Linked DNA regions of Drosophila melanogaster. The protein of the gene in region 3 interacts with the protein of the main gene of each other region in a biochemical or structural test. Each region holds a gene or a part of one and is shown on either strand. Other genes may lie near its edges.

Region 1 (5,683 bases), on a different chromosome or scaffold from region 3:
CTGGTTTTATGCAAACTGGGGGCGCAAGAAAATCGTCAATGGATGGCGGCCGAGTCTCGAGGCGTTCTTATCGCTCGAACTCGACGTCGGACCCTAAGATATATAGTTGCTCTCCGCTCTGGTTCTGCAAAGCTCTTTTTACTTCGATTGGATCTCGGCCGTTCCTTGGGACCTGAAAGGGGAAACGATACTCTATTTATTGTGGGTTGTGGGAATGGGAAAACTTAGTATTATGATTACGTTTTAGTATTTGTGTTAACAAACGTATATTATTCAAACAAAAGGTATTTTGGATAACAATTTGTATTTAGCCAGGGAGTAGCTTATTGTGCATGCCAACACATTGATACAGCTTCTATTTTGAAAGTCCGTATTGCAGTTTTACTTTTGATAACGAAAACGCCACAAAATATGTATGCACCACACATTTCACTGAGCATCAAGCGCTGATAACGATTTATATGTATAAAAAATCCAATGTTTAATAAACTCAGAACTTTTAAACGGTAAATAGTGGACTACGTGATTGATTTTCCGGCCAGTGCACCCAATGGCTGGCGAACTTTGACATTTTCTGGTGGAAGTAGAGTGTACCCCCGCATTTTTGGCAACCGATTTATTTTCAACTTGGCAGCGTTTTGCCCGTTGATAAAGATTCTGTGACCTCGCTCGCCCACTTTTTATCGCCTGGCGAAGTCGATGTGCACTTGGGCATTATTATTTGGATTTGCGCGACCACCGGCTTTTGTTTCTGTAGTATACTTTTTACTTTGCTTTCCGTTTCGTTTTATTTTCTGTTTTTCACTGCGCTCTTCGGTTCTCTTCTTTCTTTGCTTTCATGTCACGTCACTTTTTTCACCGCTGGATGACGAGGGCGTTTTGCCCAAAAAAAAAAGCACCGAAGAAGCCTCCAAAAACATTAATGGGCGTATGTTAGCTGTTCTTTTTTTTTGAGCTTACTTTTCCGATTTTTTTTACTCGCCAGCGGACAAAATCGGTTAGCGTTGCGGAATTTCTGTGGCGGAGCAGAGAGAGTAATCTCTGACTTCTGAAGTTGGCTTCGCTTGGAATCGGAATCCGGGGTGTTGGCTGCGGAATGTTTGACCCTGCGTGTTGCACTTTATGGAACTCCAACTCGCTGGAGCTTCGCCTCGCTGATTTGCCGCTAATTTGTTTGTTAACTATTACCAAGTGCAGGGCAATTCACTAAAATGAAAATTTCTATTGATTTTTCTTCGCTCTCGCTGCCTAAGAGTGGAGCCATCTAGCGGGCGCGGGTGGAACGATTGGTGTGACCAGTAGAGCGTTGGGTTGAAATACAATGATTACTTCGAGGGATGGGTACACAGGGATGGACGAAGAGAGACGACAATTCGCTTTAAGAATTTTTTACCTTTTGCTCCAAGCAGAAATCCAAAAATATCTTCTTAATTGTTTTTATGGCTAATAAATTTCCGTTCTATCCTTTAAGGTAACGCTTGGTGCAATACAAAAATATGACTCAAATTTGATTAAGTTGTTGTCAAAACTTGTGACGTCACAAAACACAAGGCTGCGCAACCTCTCGCAGCGCACACCTTGAGATTACTCCGCCATTTTTTTGCGCGTTTCAGAAACGCGTTTTCGATCCCTCGGTTTTATTTGTGGAAAAAATATGTGAAGTGCTCTTGCGGCAAGCAGCAAACTGGCAGAATTGAAAACACAGGACCGACCAGATCGATCCAAGTACCAGGAGTAGCACCGGATACCGTGGCTTGCGCCGAAGTGATAAGCGTGCCGAATGCAGACGCATGTGTTACGCAGCACAGTTCCGATTTTCGCACCGTAAAAACATAATTGGCATTGGAGATAGGAGTGGATTTTGGAGTGCGCTAGTAGTAGGAGAAGGAGCCAACCGCGTTCCGTCATGAGTTTTTCCAGCGACGAGGTGAACTTTCTGGTTTACCGATACCTGCAGGAGTCGGGTGAGTAAAACCCTCCAATCGCAAGATAACAGCCCGCCCTAATCTCATGCAATCCCGTTTTCTAGGCTTTCTGCACTCGGCCTACGTGTTTGGCATTGAGTCACACATCTCGCAAAGTAATATCAATGGCGCATTGGTTCCACCTGCCGCTTTGCTCACCATCCTGCAGAAGGGTCTTCTGTACACTGAAGTGGAGTGGAGCGTAGGCGAAGACGGCGAGGTGGCGCGACCCATTGAAGGACTCTCTCTAATAGACGCTGTCATGCCGGAGGTGAAGCCACTCAAGCCCATTGTGAAAACAGAGCCGGGAAAACCCGGGGCAGTCGACTCTTCTGCCCCTGCCGGTGGCAACCAGAACAACAATGCCAAGCCTGAGATAAAAATAGAACCGGGTACCGGAGTGGCGGGCTCAGCAGGTGGAAACAAAATTGCTGGCAGCACCACGGGCACAAGCACACCAACCGATCAGTCGGCAAGCGAGGTAGACTCCAGTGGAAATGCGGCAAATAATGCTGGCGGCACATACGCCGGAAACAATGGAGCTGGAGGGAACCAGGCCAGTACTGGAGGATCTAATAGCACAAGCACACCAGCTGGTGGAGATTTGGCAGCACCTGGGGCAAGTCAAAAGAAATCCCAGAACTCGAATGAAGCGGGAAGCTCATCTAGTGGCAATGCAGGCAATGCAAATGCTACCAGTACCGATGATGCAGCCTCCTCAACATCCACAAATGGCAATAGCAGCACTTCCAGCAGCGTAGAACAACCTACAAGCGGGCTGACGCCCGCTGGTGGAACTGTATCAACCTCCAATCCGGACGCAGCAGCATCGGGCGGAGCTTCGACTGCAACAGGATCAAAGGCGCCAAGTGGAGCGGTTACGATTCGCGTAGGAGCCCAAGGAAACAACGTGCAGTCTGGTTCGTCCAATGCTCAAAGCTCTGCTCCCAGTGGAACCATCTCCTCGTCTACCAGCGGAGGTGCTGGGACTCCCGCAGCTCTTGTTCCCATGGACATTGACGAGAACATCGAAATACCCGAATCCAAGGCTCGTGTATTACGCGGCCACGAAAGCGAGGTGTTTATCTGCGCATGGAATCCTAGCCGGGATTTACTGGCAAGCGGTTCGGGAGACAGCACTGCTAGGATATGGGACATGTCCGATGCAAACACTAACTCCAACCAGTTGGTGCTGCGCCACTGCATCCAGAAAGGCGGCGCTGAGGTGCCTAGCAACAAGGACGTCACCTCTCTGGACTGGAATGTAAGTCGAAGATCTTGGCACTTAAGCCTTGCAAAGTTTGATTTCTGATCCTTACTTAATCTATTCTCGTTTTTGCAGTGCGATGGTTCCTTGCTCGCCACCGGCAGCTACGATGGTTACGCCCGAATTTGGAAAACCGACGGTCGACTTGCTTCTACTTTGGGACAACACAAGGGTCCGATCTTTGCTCTGAAGTGGAACAAGTGCGGCAACTACATCCTCTCGGCTGGCGTGGACAAGACGACGATCATCTGGGACGCATCCACGGGCCAATGCACCCAGCAATTTGCCTTTCACAGTGCTCCAGCCTTGGATGTGGACTGGCAGACAAACCAGGCCTTTGCCTCTTGCAGTACGGATCAGCGGATACATGTGTGCCGGTTGGGTGTAAATGAACCCATCAAGACCTTTAAAGGACACACAAACGAGGTGAATGCAATCAAGTGGTGTCCGCAGGGCCAACTGCTGGCGTCCTGCTCTGATGACATGACCCTCAAGATCTGGAGCATGAACCGAGATCGTTGCTGCCACGATCTGCAGGCTCACTCAAAGGAGATCTATACGATAAAATGGTCGCCCACGGGGCCGGGAACCAATAATCCAAACACAAACCTGATCCTCGCATCCGCTTCGTTCGATTCCACGGTAAGACTGTGGGACGTGGAGAGGGGCAGCTGTATCCACACGCTCACCAAGCACACAGAGCCAGTCTATTCGGTGGCCTTCAGTCCGGATGGAAAGCATTTGGCCTCCGGCAGCTTCGACAAGTGCGTACACATTTGGAGCACGCAAACGGGACAGCTAGTGCACAGTTACAAGGGCACGGGCGGAATCTTTGAGGTGTGCTGGAACTCCAAGGGCACTAAGGTGGGTGCCAGTGCCTCCGACGGTAGCGTTTTCGTGTTGGACCTGCGAAAGTTCTGATTGCCGGAGCAGCCACAACTGGATTTCGTGTATTGAGCCAACGCTTAAAATAGTCAAGATTCCTTTTCCAGCTCATTATTTGGTAAAAATGAAATCGGTAGTTTTTCACTTTCTTACGGAACGAGAAGTTTTTACTTTTGATTCAAAAATTGCATTTAACTATATTTTTTAAAGAAGTGAAATATGATCAGTTACAATTCTACCAACATAAGTCGATTTGGATCTGGAGTCCGGACCTTAGGTAACTCCTTTCTTAGCTATCCCGCCCTGCAATCGTATTTGTAATTGCTTTAAATTCTAATTAGTTCTTTAAGGTATACCTCTTGAGATGAGATCCTCCCGCTTTTGTCCACGTCTATTTCGTACGCTTAGTTTCGAGTCACAAAATATCGATATGCACCTGGGATTTTTGGGGGCTTCAACATGGTTGTTGTTCTCTTCAGATCAGCGGGATGCGACTCGCCTCATTTTAATCTTAATCATAAGCTCCATGTTTCTAAGGTCGTCCCTTTTTATACGAAAATCGTTTAGTATAACTTTGCATTTTGTTATTGTATCGATCAAAGATGCCAGCCAACTCCCCGCCCTCCCCACCAAAAGTCCTTTACCCAATTCCACAGTTGTCCTCCAAAAAAGGGATGCCAAGAGATCAGATCAGACCGATTCACGCATACATTCAGAACAGTGTAACTGCAGTCCCACGTAGTCAGTAATCGAACGTAATTATTAAGAACACGAGATTGGCGGAAACACAAGAACATCAGCAAAAATACATTAAAGATAAAAATTAATCTGTTTTCGTTTTGGGCCTGGGTGTTTTTTGTATTTTAGCATTTTAAAATTTAATACTAAAGTACTTAAATTAAACTTTATTCTTTGTAAATATAGATACTCCTGAACTTAATTTTATTTTCATTTGTTGCTAAAACTCCATGACACTTTCCAGATGGCGTTGCTTAAAGAAGCGGCACTCCTCGCGAATTATTTCGCCGGATTTTGTTGTGCCCTTAAAGAACTTTGTGAGCTTGGTGCCGGCGTACTTGGGCTTCTCGGAATCCGGCTCGTCGAACTCCATGTCATAGGCCTTGTCCGCCAGTGCGTTTTCCGCGGTGGACCAACTGAAGCGCACAAGTCGTGGAAATCCAAACACTAGATCGATGTACTCGGTCAGAAATCTTCTTGTGACCGGATCTCCCGGATATCCACTGCCGAACTCGTTGTCCTTAATGACCAAGCCCTCGGGGAAGCTCCACACCTTGAGGGCATGATCACGGGTAACTTTGGCGCATATACTAGCAGCAGAGACTATTGGATAGGTGGAGTCAGCTTTTTTCGCCACGGTGATTTTAAAGCTGGGGAAACGTTTGAGCAACTTCTCCTGGTACTTCTCCGGCGGACCCACCGTATCCACATAAACCTCGGCTATATTGACGCCCGCATCGATCGCCTGTTGGATAAGGCCCATGGCCGAGTCCATGGAAACTTCGTTCAGGGAGCACTTCGACCGCCGGTACATGCTGGTGCTGATCGT
Region 2 (4,149 bases), on a different chromosome or scaffold from region 3:
ATAAATTATTTCTCAAGAAAGTCGTTATCAAAAGTTTCGTGAAGTGCTCGACGTCTGTTTCGATGAGCACCGCCAGGTGGGAATCTATTTTCCAAGCAATTAGCTTACCGTAATCTTCCAGCTGATTCATGGGCCGCCGACATGCAAGAAGAAGAAAGGACACACGAGAGGATACCCCTAGTTAGTGTAGTCGTATGTATGTATGTATGACGCCAGCGCTCTAATCGATTCAACCATGTACATCTTAATAAGATTACCGCACGCAACACCGTCCACATTGCGGCGTCACCCGAAGGTCGATTGTCCCTATCTGTTCTCATTATGATGATACAAAGTGGGCTAACTTTAATTACGGTAGCATTCTTAAGATACTTTGGAGTAATATTCGTAGTCCCCCTTTAATGGTGAATTCCAAACTATGTAGTTAAAAGTCCATTAAAAAGCTATTCCTACATCCTGAAGTCTTTGAACTATTCTGTTGCAAATAAACATGTATAAACATGTATTTGTGGACTCCGAATTGTGGCAATTAAACATTTATAACTTGAATTTGCTTAAGCCTTACTGTTTTTTATTGATGGATTTGGAGATTAAAAAAAACGCAACACGCCGTCGGGTTAACTTACCCGTACTGCTGATGTGTCCTCGGAGCTGGGCCGCTGTAGTGGCTCTATGTCGGCCTCAAGGAGCAGCTGCATCCGCTCCTCCCCTTGGGCAGAGAGCGAAACCCGTTGTTGGCGCGGGACGTCCGCCTCCGTGGGCGTGGACGCCGGCGTTAACGTGTCGGCGGCATAGGAGAAGGGAAGCAGACTGGGCGCCGGCGGAAAGCTGATCCAAGGCGTGATGTGTAGCGTTTGCAGCGGACGCAGGCAGCAACCCCGCTGGTTGGCGTGCAGCCACAGGATGTCCGTGACCTTGGCCGCGTTCCGATTGCAGCACAACTCCGAGCTGGCCAGGGCGGGATCTGTGGAGGAAGCAGGCAGTCTATATAAGCGTGAACGCCTTCCAATGACGCCGCCACTTACCGAATCCGTCATCGCTGCCCGATTGGAGGGTATAGAAGGCGATGCTCGAGGGCTGCGCGAGGTGCTCGGCGATCTTGGAGCACGCCTTTTGAATGCGCCAGGACTGCAGGACGGTGGCACTCACGTAATACAGGGTCAACATCGCAGATTTCTGGTGGGTACTGCTTCCTCCGCGGACTCAAAGTTTTTTGGGGACTAATTCAGAAGCCGGGGCACAACTTACATATTGATGGGAACCAAAATCAATGGCGGTTTCGTAATTGGCTCCGATTTTGCTCGGCTGGCGGATTTATCGGTTGCCCAAAGGAGCGCTTCCTGATTCGCCGTTTTTAGCCAGTTGACACACTTTCTGCATTCCCTTGTCCACTGACTTTTATTGTTGATTACTGCATTCTCCAATTCCAATACTCCAATACGCGTATTCCAATATTCCAATATTCTCTATCACGAAAATTAGCGCGAGCAGAGTCGAATTAGAAAATCAAAATAGAAGATAAACTAACTGGACAGTGCTGCCGGCCCGGCGGCTTTCGGTCATATCTGGCGGGTTTTTTTTTTGGCAAGCGTACGTTCGTGTATTTATTTCATTTAATACATTAGGCTTAAAAATAAACCTAAATGAAAACTAAAAGACACACGTATATTTTACAACATCTAGCCTTCCTTACATCGACCAAAAATAAAATAAAACCACATGCACAGAGAGACTTGTGAATTGAGCAGAACAAAAATTATAGCATCACCATAGGGATGCTCTCGTGACGTGACTGTGCGTTTGTACATCACTAGCTATGTCCATTTTTAGTACACTATCGGCGCACGCCGCTTTAAGTTGTCTTCAATTGGCAATAAGTTAGCAAATTGATATCTCACGATTAAACAAAGGTACCCAAAGGTGACCACGGGAGCGGCATGCTGTTGGGCGAATACGACACAACCCGGCGACTCCTTTTCATCGTGGCCGTTCTGCTGATTGTCCTGTATGCGAAGACGTACCTGCTGCCCGGCGAGGATTTGGTCCACAACTAGGGGACTACGGCGTCCCTGCAATAACCGATCCAATTGAGAAGTTGGCGCGATGACGGACCGTAGGGTGTCGTACTTCTACAACGCGGACGTGGGCAACTTCCACTATGGAGCCGGGCATCCCATGAAGCCGCAACGCCTGGCGGTCACTCACAGCCTGGTAATGAACTACGGACTGCACAAGAAAATGAAGATCTACAGGCCGTACAAGTGAGTTGGCGGAGAGGTGTGTCTGTGCCGCGTAAATTATACTAATCCGGAATTCTTTGCAGGGCCAGTGCGCAGGACATGCTCCGCTTCCACAGCGACGAGTACATCGCCTACTTACAGCAGGTGACTCCACAAAACATTCAGTGCAATTGTGAGTTGAAGAGGAAGTCGCCCAATTGGAATAACATTTAGAATAATCTGATAATTTTCTGTTCTTAAGCCGTGGCCTATACGAAGTACCTGGCGCACTTCAGCGTAGGCGAGGACTGTCCCGTGTTCGATGGCCTCTTCGACTTCTGTGCAATGTACACGGGTGCCTCGCTGGAGGGAGCCCAGAAGCTGAACCACAACCACAGCGACATATGCATAAACTGGTCGGGCGGACTGCATCACGCCAAGAAGTTCGAGGCAAGCGGATTCTGCTACGTGAATGACATCGTCATCGGCATTCTGGAGCTGCTTAAGTACCATCCTCGGGTGCTCTACATCGACATCGATGTGCACCACGGCGACGGGGTGCAGGAGGCGTTCTACCTTACGGACCGAGTGATGACGGCTTCGTTCCACAAATACGGAAACTACTTTTTTCCCGGCACGGGAGACATGTACGAGATAGGCGCCGAATCGGGACGATACTACAGCGTTAATGTGCCGCTAAAGGAGGGCATTGATGACCAGAGCTATTTTCAGGTGTTCAAACCCATAATTTCTGCCATTATGGACTTCTACCGGCCCACGGCTATCGTTTTGCAGTGTGGCGCGGATTCACTAGCTGGAGATCGACTAGGTTGCTTCTCCCTGAGCACCAAGGGACATGGTGAGTGTGTCAAATTTGTGAAGGAACTGAACGTACCCACATTGGTGGTCGGAGGCGGTGGCTACACCTTACGGAACGTGGCCCGCTGCTGGACGCACGAGACCTCGCTGCTGGTGGACCAAGACATTGAAAATGACCTACCCGCCACCGAGTATTACGACTTTTTCGCCCCCGACTTTACACTCCATCCAGAGATTAACTCACGCCAAGATAATGCTAACTCAAAGCAGTATCTTGAACTCATCGTTAAGCATGTGTATGAAAACCTTAAGATGTGCCAGCACTCGCCCAGCGTCCAAATGGTGCAGACCCCGCCTGATGTGGACTTGGAGGAGCTGCGCAGCAACCGGGAGGAGGCGAGTGATCCCGACGTGCGAATATCCGTAGCCGATGAGGACAAGCTGGTTGATGCTAAGAACGAGTTCTACGACGGCGATCAGGACCAAGACAAGCCCGATTCGGCAGAAAGTTAGTATTGGATAATGTAGAATAAGGATTCGAGTTTAGCGTAAGCAGTAAAGAGTATCAGCTTATTTTGTAACATCGTTTGGAACTATTTTTTTTGGAAGTAGCGCGTAGAAGACAATAGGTTTTAAAATCGACAGACACACATTTATTTGGGATGCATAATGGTACTTAATAGGAGGATTACATTAGTGACACATTGCTGGATCGGCGGAAGATCACCAACCAGTTGTGGTATTGGCCAGTCGTCGCATTCTGCGCGTGTTGCGGTCCTGGTCGCGGATTTTCTTCTCCATTTCGGCGTCGGTAAGCGTCTCTAGGAATGGCGCCCATGCGTCAGCGTCGCTGGGATTCCGGAAGGGCACATCAATCGTTGATAGAGGGGCCTCGCTGAAGGCGTACGTTCGACAGTGCCACGATAGCTGACCCCTAATGCTGTAGGCAATGGCCGTAACAAACTCTCCTCCCAATCCCAATTCCGCACAGAGTTTAATGGCAAACTCCTCGGGGTTGTTGTTCTTCTCGGACATGTCCCACTCGACCTGGTCGACGAGCGAGGTGTTGCCCACGTGAATGTTCAGCTTAACAATGACCCGCTGGTCGCAG
Region 3 (4,832 bases):
GATGATTTCTTTGGGCACTGGTTGAATTTGCTCCTCGTTTTTTTCCGTAGTAGAAGTAACACGCCCCAATTTTGCCTGCTCCCGTCTTTGCGCAAACATGGACTTTTTAGGAGCTGCATTTGTGAAAAAATTCAACAATAAATGTATTTAATAAATATTTGGTAAGCAGAGGGAATCTGGCCGCACCTTTATCCATACGCACAAAAGCCGCTGCAGGCTGGAAATTGGGATCCTTCGCTCTCTCTGCATTGAACTCTGCTGCCATTCGCAGGACATCCTCCTCACTTTCACCTGGCTTAAGTTTTTTAAACATTTTAGCCGGAAAAACAAAACCAAATAGATTTCAAAACAAGTCGGCTGCAGTGTGGCCGTACCTTTAGAAAATACCACCAACATTCGTTTCCATTAACAGACACTTAACAGGGCAGCATTTACAGAGCTATGTTATTGCGAAAACATTTCAATTGTAAAATTCCCAGTAAAGTTTCCAATTAGATTTCAGTAATGAGGAAGGCGGGCAATTTAAAAAAATTGCATGTACACCATTTACACCTACATCATTAAAATGAAATTTAATTTGCATTCAAGTAGAAAAAAACGATTTAATAATACAAGTGCACACGCCATTAACTAGTTTTTCGTTCATTTCCCTTCCTTTTTAAATGTGGTTCCCGTATCGGACAAACACTTATGCAGCGACTGCTGCGCCACTATGGTGTCCTTGTGAGGCAGTGCAGCCACTTGGAAGAACATATCGAGCGACTCCTTGAAAAGTTCTATGGCCTCCACGGTTTTCTGGGCCTCCATGGCTCGCGCAGCCTCTCGATACAGCTCCTCGATCTTGATCATCTTGGCTACGCTCTCCTTGAGTGAGATGTTCTTGCGGCAGCGAGGACAACGCACATCCTTTGCCAAATCCTTGGGGAACTTGAGCAAATTAGAGCAGTTGGCTGAGGTGCACCTTTAATAATGAAAGATATTATAGTATATCGATTGATAGCGAGGCTAGTACCCACCAGAATCGCACTTGCTTGTCCAGTTTCTGGAGCAGTGGCCAGTTCTCCTGGCAGGCCATGCAGCTGCAGCTGAAGGAGTAGCGTCCTCGCAGAGATCGCTGTCTCTCCTTCAAGTTGTTTTTGATGAAAATGGGTCCGTAGTTCACGGCCACCAATTCATTGGCACGATGCGGCCTGGTGGCTGTGAGGACCAGCTTCTTGCCAACAAAATGACAAGCGGTGCTTAAATTATAAGACGAATCCTTAATGATCTCTATAATATTCAAGATAATACAACTCACCTGGGCCAGCACTCGTGATTGAAGTAGGAACCAGTACCATAAAGTCCTGCGGCCAGATACACCGTCTTACTGCCGTCGAAGCGATGCTCCTCGGTCACTTGGGTTTGATAGATCTGGTGGGCATTGTACTGGAGCACCTGCAGCAGGCCCAGCAAAGCGGTGGCCACCTGCAGCTCCACCGCAGTTGGATTCACTCCCTCAGTTTTGCGACGTCCGAAGTACAGCGACTTCTGTAGAATGCGCAACAGGAAGCCAGACATCAGAGCTCGCCGCAAGTAGTCGTCCGGCTGGCGGTCCTCCTCGTGGGAGCACAAGTGCTCGAAGAGCAGATTGGCGGTGGCCAAGCCCTGCTCCAAGCTGGGCGCCTGTGTGAAGATGCGCAGCGCGATGAAGCACAGGATGGACATGCCAGAACCGATCATCAAGTCCATATACTCGCACTCGAAGCGATGGTAACTGGAGCAGGCCTCGCCCATGCACTGGGCGGAGCAGAAGGCGATTCCCGAGCAGTGGAGACAGGAAACGGGAGTGTGCAGCCTGCAATTAATGGGATTCTTTGACAGCTTGACAGCTGACTTCACATTATTAATCCCTTACCTCTTGAAGCAATGATGACAATGAGTGCCAAAGTAACTGGGCTCCAAACAGGCGGCCACTGGCTCCTCGAAGAGCAGAACGTCGCCGGTTCTCAGACCCTCGTTGGCCACCACAAAACGACCCTTGTCCTTGGTCTCCACCAGCCTCACCACCTTGGACGCACCAACTAGTTCGGCACTCTCGCCATGTGCCAGTTGTGGCACCTGTTCCGAGGTGGCTTCCTTGGGTTTCGGCTTTACTGATGATAGTTCCTTGCGGCACAGTGCGATGTGGGTGGCATCACAGCCAGGCATTTTCTCGGCTATCTTCAATGAGATCTCAGCGCGGGCAGGTTCTCCCATGACTGAAAATAAAAGGATTTCCATAAGCATGATACCATCGGTTGCTCCCGGCTGACCCACCTGCATAGGCTTTGGCCATCTTTAAGTAGTAATCCACACTGGACTTGAGCTCCAGTCCAAAGTTGATGGCCAGCTTGAGGTCATTCAATGCTGCCTCCCCCTCGCCCAAGCGGATCAATATGGAAGCCCTCGATCTGTAGGCCAATGCCAAGGTGAGGCCCTCATCGAGGACAGGATCTGCATTGCGGTCGGGAGCCCGCATCACGGCCAGATTGGCGGCCATTAGAGCCTGCTGCAGCAGCTCCCTGCTCTCCTCGCCGTCGCCACTGCCGCTCATCAGGTAGAGCTTATCCGCCTGTGCACGTCGCTGGGCCGAGAAGAGGGCATCCTTCTGCTTGAACACCGGCTGTACATGCTCCAGGACACCCAGCACAGGATCGCACACCTCGCGATCGCTGAAAATGGACAGAACTCGGGCTGCATTGGACTTCAGTTTGCCAAAGTAGTTGCGCAGCCACTTGTCGCCACATGCATCACGCACGTCCACGCAAAATTCGTTGAAGAATCCCCTCCTCTCCGACTGAACCGTCTGCGCGGAGCAGATCTCGTGGTACGTGGCGTCGAACTCCATTTGGACTCAAAATTATGTAAAATCTAATTCAGATTTTCGGTGCAACGGCTGAAAAAGTGGGACTTGTCCGCGTTTTCTGATCACCACACGGCCGCTGAGTATTGGAAACAGCTGGCGGACGTTCCTATACTCCAAAAATAGCACCGATCTTTCAGTTCGGCGGCGCATTATAAATATGCGGTATTGAGTTCCGAACTAGTACTGGTTCACGTTCGATACTTCTTTGAGGATATTATTTATTTTCGAAATAAATAGAAATATTTACATGGTTTCGACTTTGACACTATTTGGATGTTTATGCTCAATTAACTTTATATCCACTTAAAATGCAAGCGATCAGTTGTAATAATTCGCATTTTATTTGTAACTGGAATCGGGCTTATAAATCACATTAAATAATTTATTTAAAAATTAGCTAAACGTACAAAAATATAACAATATGTATATCAGAGTATTTGTAGTTATATATATATTCGTAATTAAATGTTAAGTGTATTTTCATCGCGTGGAAAATACGCAAGTTGATTTCAAACTCTCGTTAATATTTAGATTTGCTCATGGACTAGATAGACTTTGTCAACCATTGTTTATCAGTTTATCATCTTGGAAAGACCTTAAGTAAGTAGAAGAGTATATTTTGTGTAACATTTTTGCGTGACACTCATTAATTTTGGTTCGCCATAATGTCAAAATGCAGAGGACAACAAACTTAAAATGATCTCAAACTACATACGAAAATCCTGTAGAAGTAAAAACAAAAGACTAATAAATTATAAACAAATTTTGCGTAGATTTCATTATAATCTTTGTATTTATTTACTCGAATAATGATTGGGTGATTTTTAATGATCAAGTCAAATGATTCAAGTGTGTTTGACTTCTTAAAAATGCGGTGCTGTGGTAAAGCGTTTTTTTTTTTTGTTTTTTGGGACAGTGATAAATCATATTTAAAAAGTCATTATTTTCACTACAGTCGTACAAAATTCAATTTGGCTAATTAAGAGTAGGGTACAAATTATACATATGCTTTTAAATTCAAAACCATTACAGTGTGTATATAAAATAGGATTGAACTTATGATTGGTCGGTTTTGCGATCGGCTTCAGATTCACATGATATATCAAATAAATTACATGGTGTATGGGTATTGTGTTGGTTTTGTTTTGTTTGTTAGCTTTCGTCACAATTAATCTCGTTGGCTTCAATTGCAATACGATCTAAGAGGAAGTGTTACTAAACTTAACAAATAAAATGCTACAAAGTTTTCTTCAGCCTCGCCGCCGAACTTGCTCAAGAGACTGCGACAGCTATTTGAAGCTTACAAGTCGGTATTTTAGTAGGTATAGGTATAGTTATATGTATTTATATGTGTATATTATAAACTATTATCATCACATTGTAAACGTTAAGTGTTTCTCATTTTTTTGTGTAATCGATTAATCTAAGCAAAAACGAGTACATCGTAGTTTTAATGTCTTTTGTGTTTAAGCTTAAACGCTGCCGAGTATCCGTATCCATCCGTCTATCCCTCGATTTCAGATACCTGATTCCCACTCGCAATCCGCCTGCCTGGCTCACTCTGATTTATGCTAAGCTAATTCGCTTTCGAAAGCAGTCGGATGGGACGAACTAAAAACCCGTGAAACTCTTCGAAGCCGGTTTCGTTTTTTTCTTTTTTTTTTTTGGTATGTGTGTTTTTAGCAGTTCACTAAGAGCGATGGCCCTCAACAAAGGTCGTAGCCTACGTACAATTGTAAATAAATTAGCTCTTAAGAGATAGAGTGGCCTAAACCTACTTGTAGGTCGCAGGATTGTTGGCCTAAGAAATGTTTTGGGATTAGCACACGGCAAAATGTTGCATTTTCTCCTTTGCGTTTGGTTTATAAATAAATTAGCCATAGTATCACTTATTTTATATTTTAAGAAAATAACCAAAAACTAATTCAACTATAAAAACTTAAAACGG

What was found.
Region 1: the proteins of Smyd4-2 (region 3) and ebi form a complex in vitro, tested with the Drosophila melanogaster proteins (one study listed by BioGRID).
Region 2: the proteins of Smyd4-2 (region 3) and HDAC3 form a complex in vitro, tested with the Drosophila melanogaster proteins (one study listed by BioGRID).

The regions. Positions count from the first base shown.
Region 1 is NT_033779.5:413,483-419,165, forward strand, and holds ebi (ebi), read left to right. Parts: upstream 1-1,584; 5' UTR 1,585-1,906; coding exon 1,907-1,964; intron 1,965-2,029; coding exon 2,030-3,228; intron 3,229-3,306; coding exon 3,307-4,152; 3' UTR 4,153-5,054; downstream 5,055-5,683. Other genes in the region: CG13690 (uncharacterized protein), read right to left, coding at 5,075-5,683.
Region 2 is NT_033777.3:5,472,278-5,476,426, reverse strand, and holds HDAC3 (histone deacetylase 3), read left to right. Parts: upstream 1-1,826; 5' UTR 1,827-1,937; coding exon of another isoform or gene 1,938-2,054; 5' UTR 2,055-2,103; coding exon 2,104-2,261; intron 2,262-2,323; coding exon 2,324-2,412; intron 2,413-2,481; coding exon 2,482-3,551; 3' UTR 3,552-3,617; downstream 3,618-4,149. Other genes in the region: Hcs (holocarboxylase synthetase), read right to left, coding at 1-121, 627-964, 1,026-1,167; CG45100 (uncharacterized protein), read left to right, coding at 1,938-2,054; Snr1 (Snf5-related 1), read right to left, coding at 3,762-4,149.
Region 3 is NT_037436.4:12,398,955-12,403,786, forward strand, and holds Smyd4-2 (SET and MYND domain containing, class 4, member 2), read right to left. Parts: upstream 2,982-4,832; 5' UTR 2,867-2,981; coding exon 2,296-2,866; intron 2,238-2,295; coding exon 1,895-2,237; intron 1,835-1,894; coding exon 1,298-1,834; intron 1,239-1,297; coding exon 1,017-1,238; intron 962-1,016; coding exon 643-961; 3' UTR 585-642; downstream 1-584. Other genes in the region: CG32104 (uncharacterized protein), read right to left, coding at 1-113, 187-313.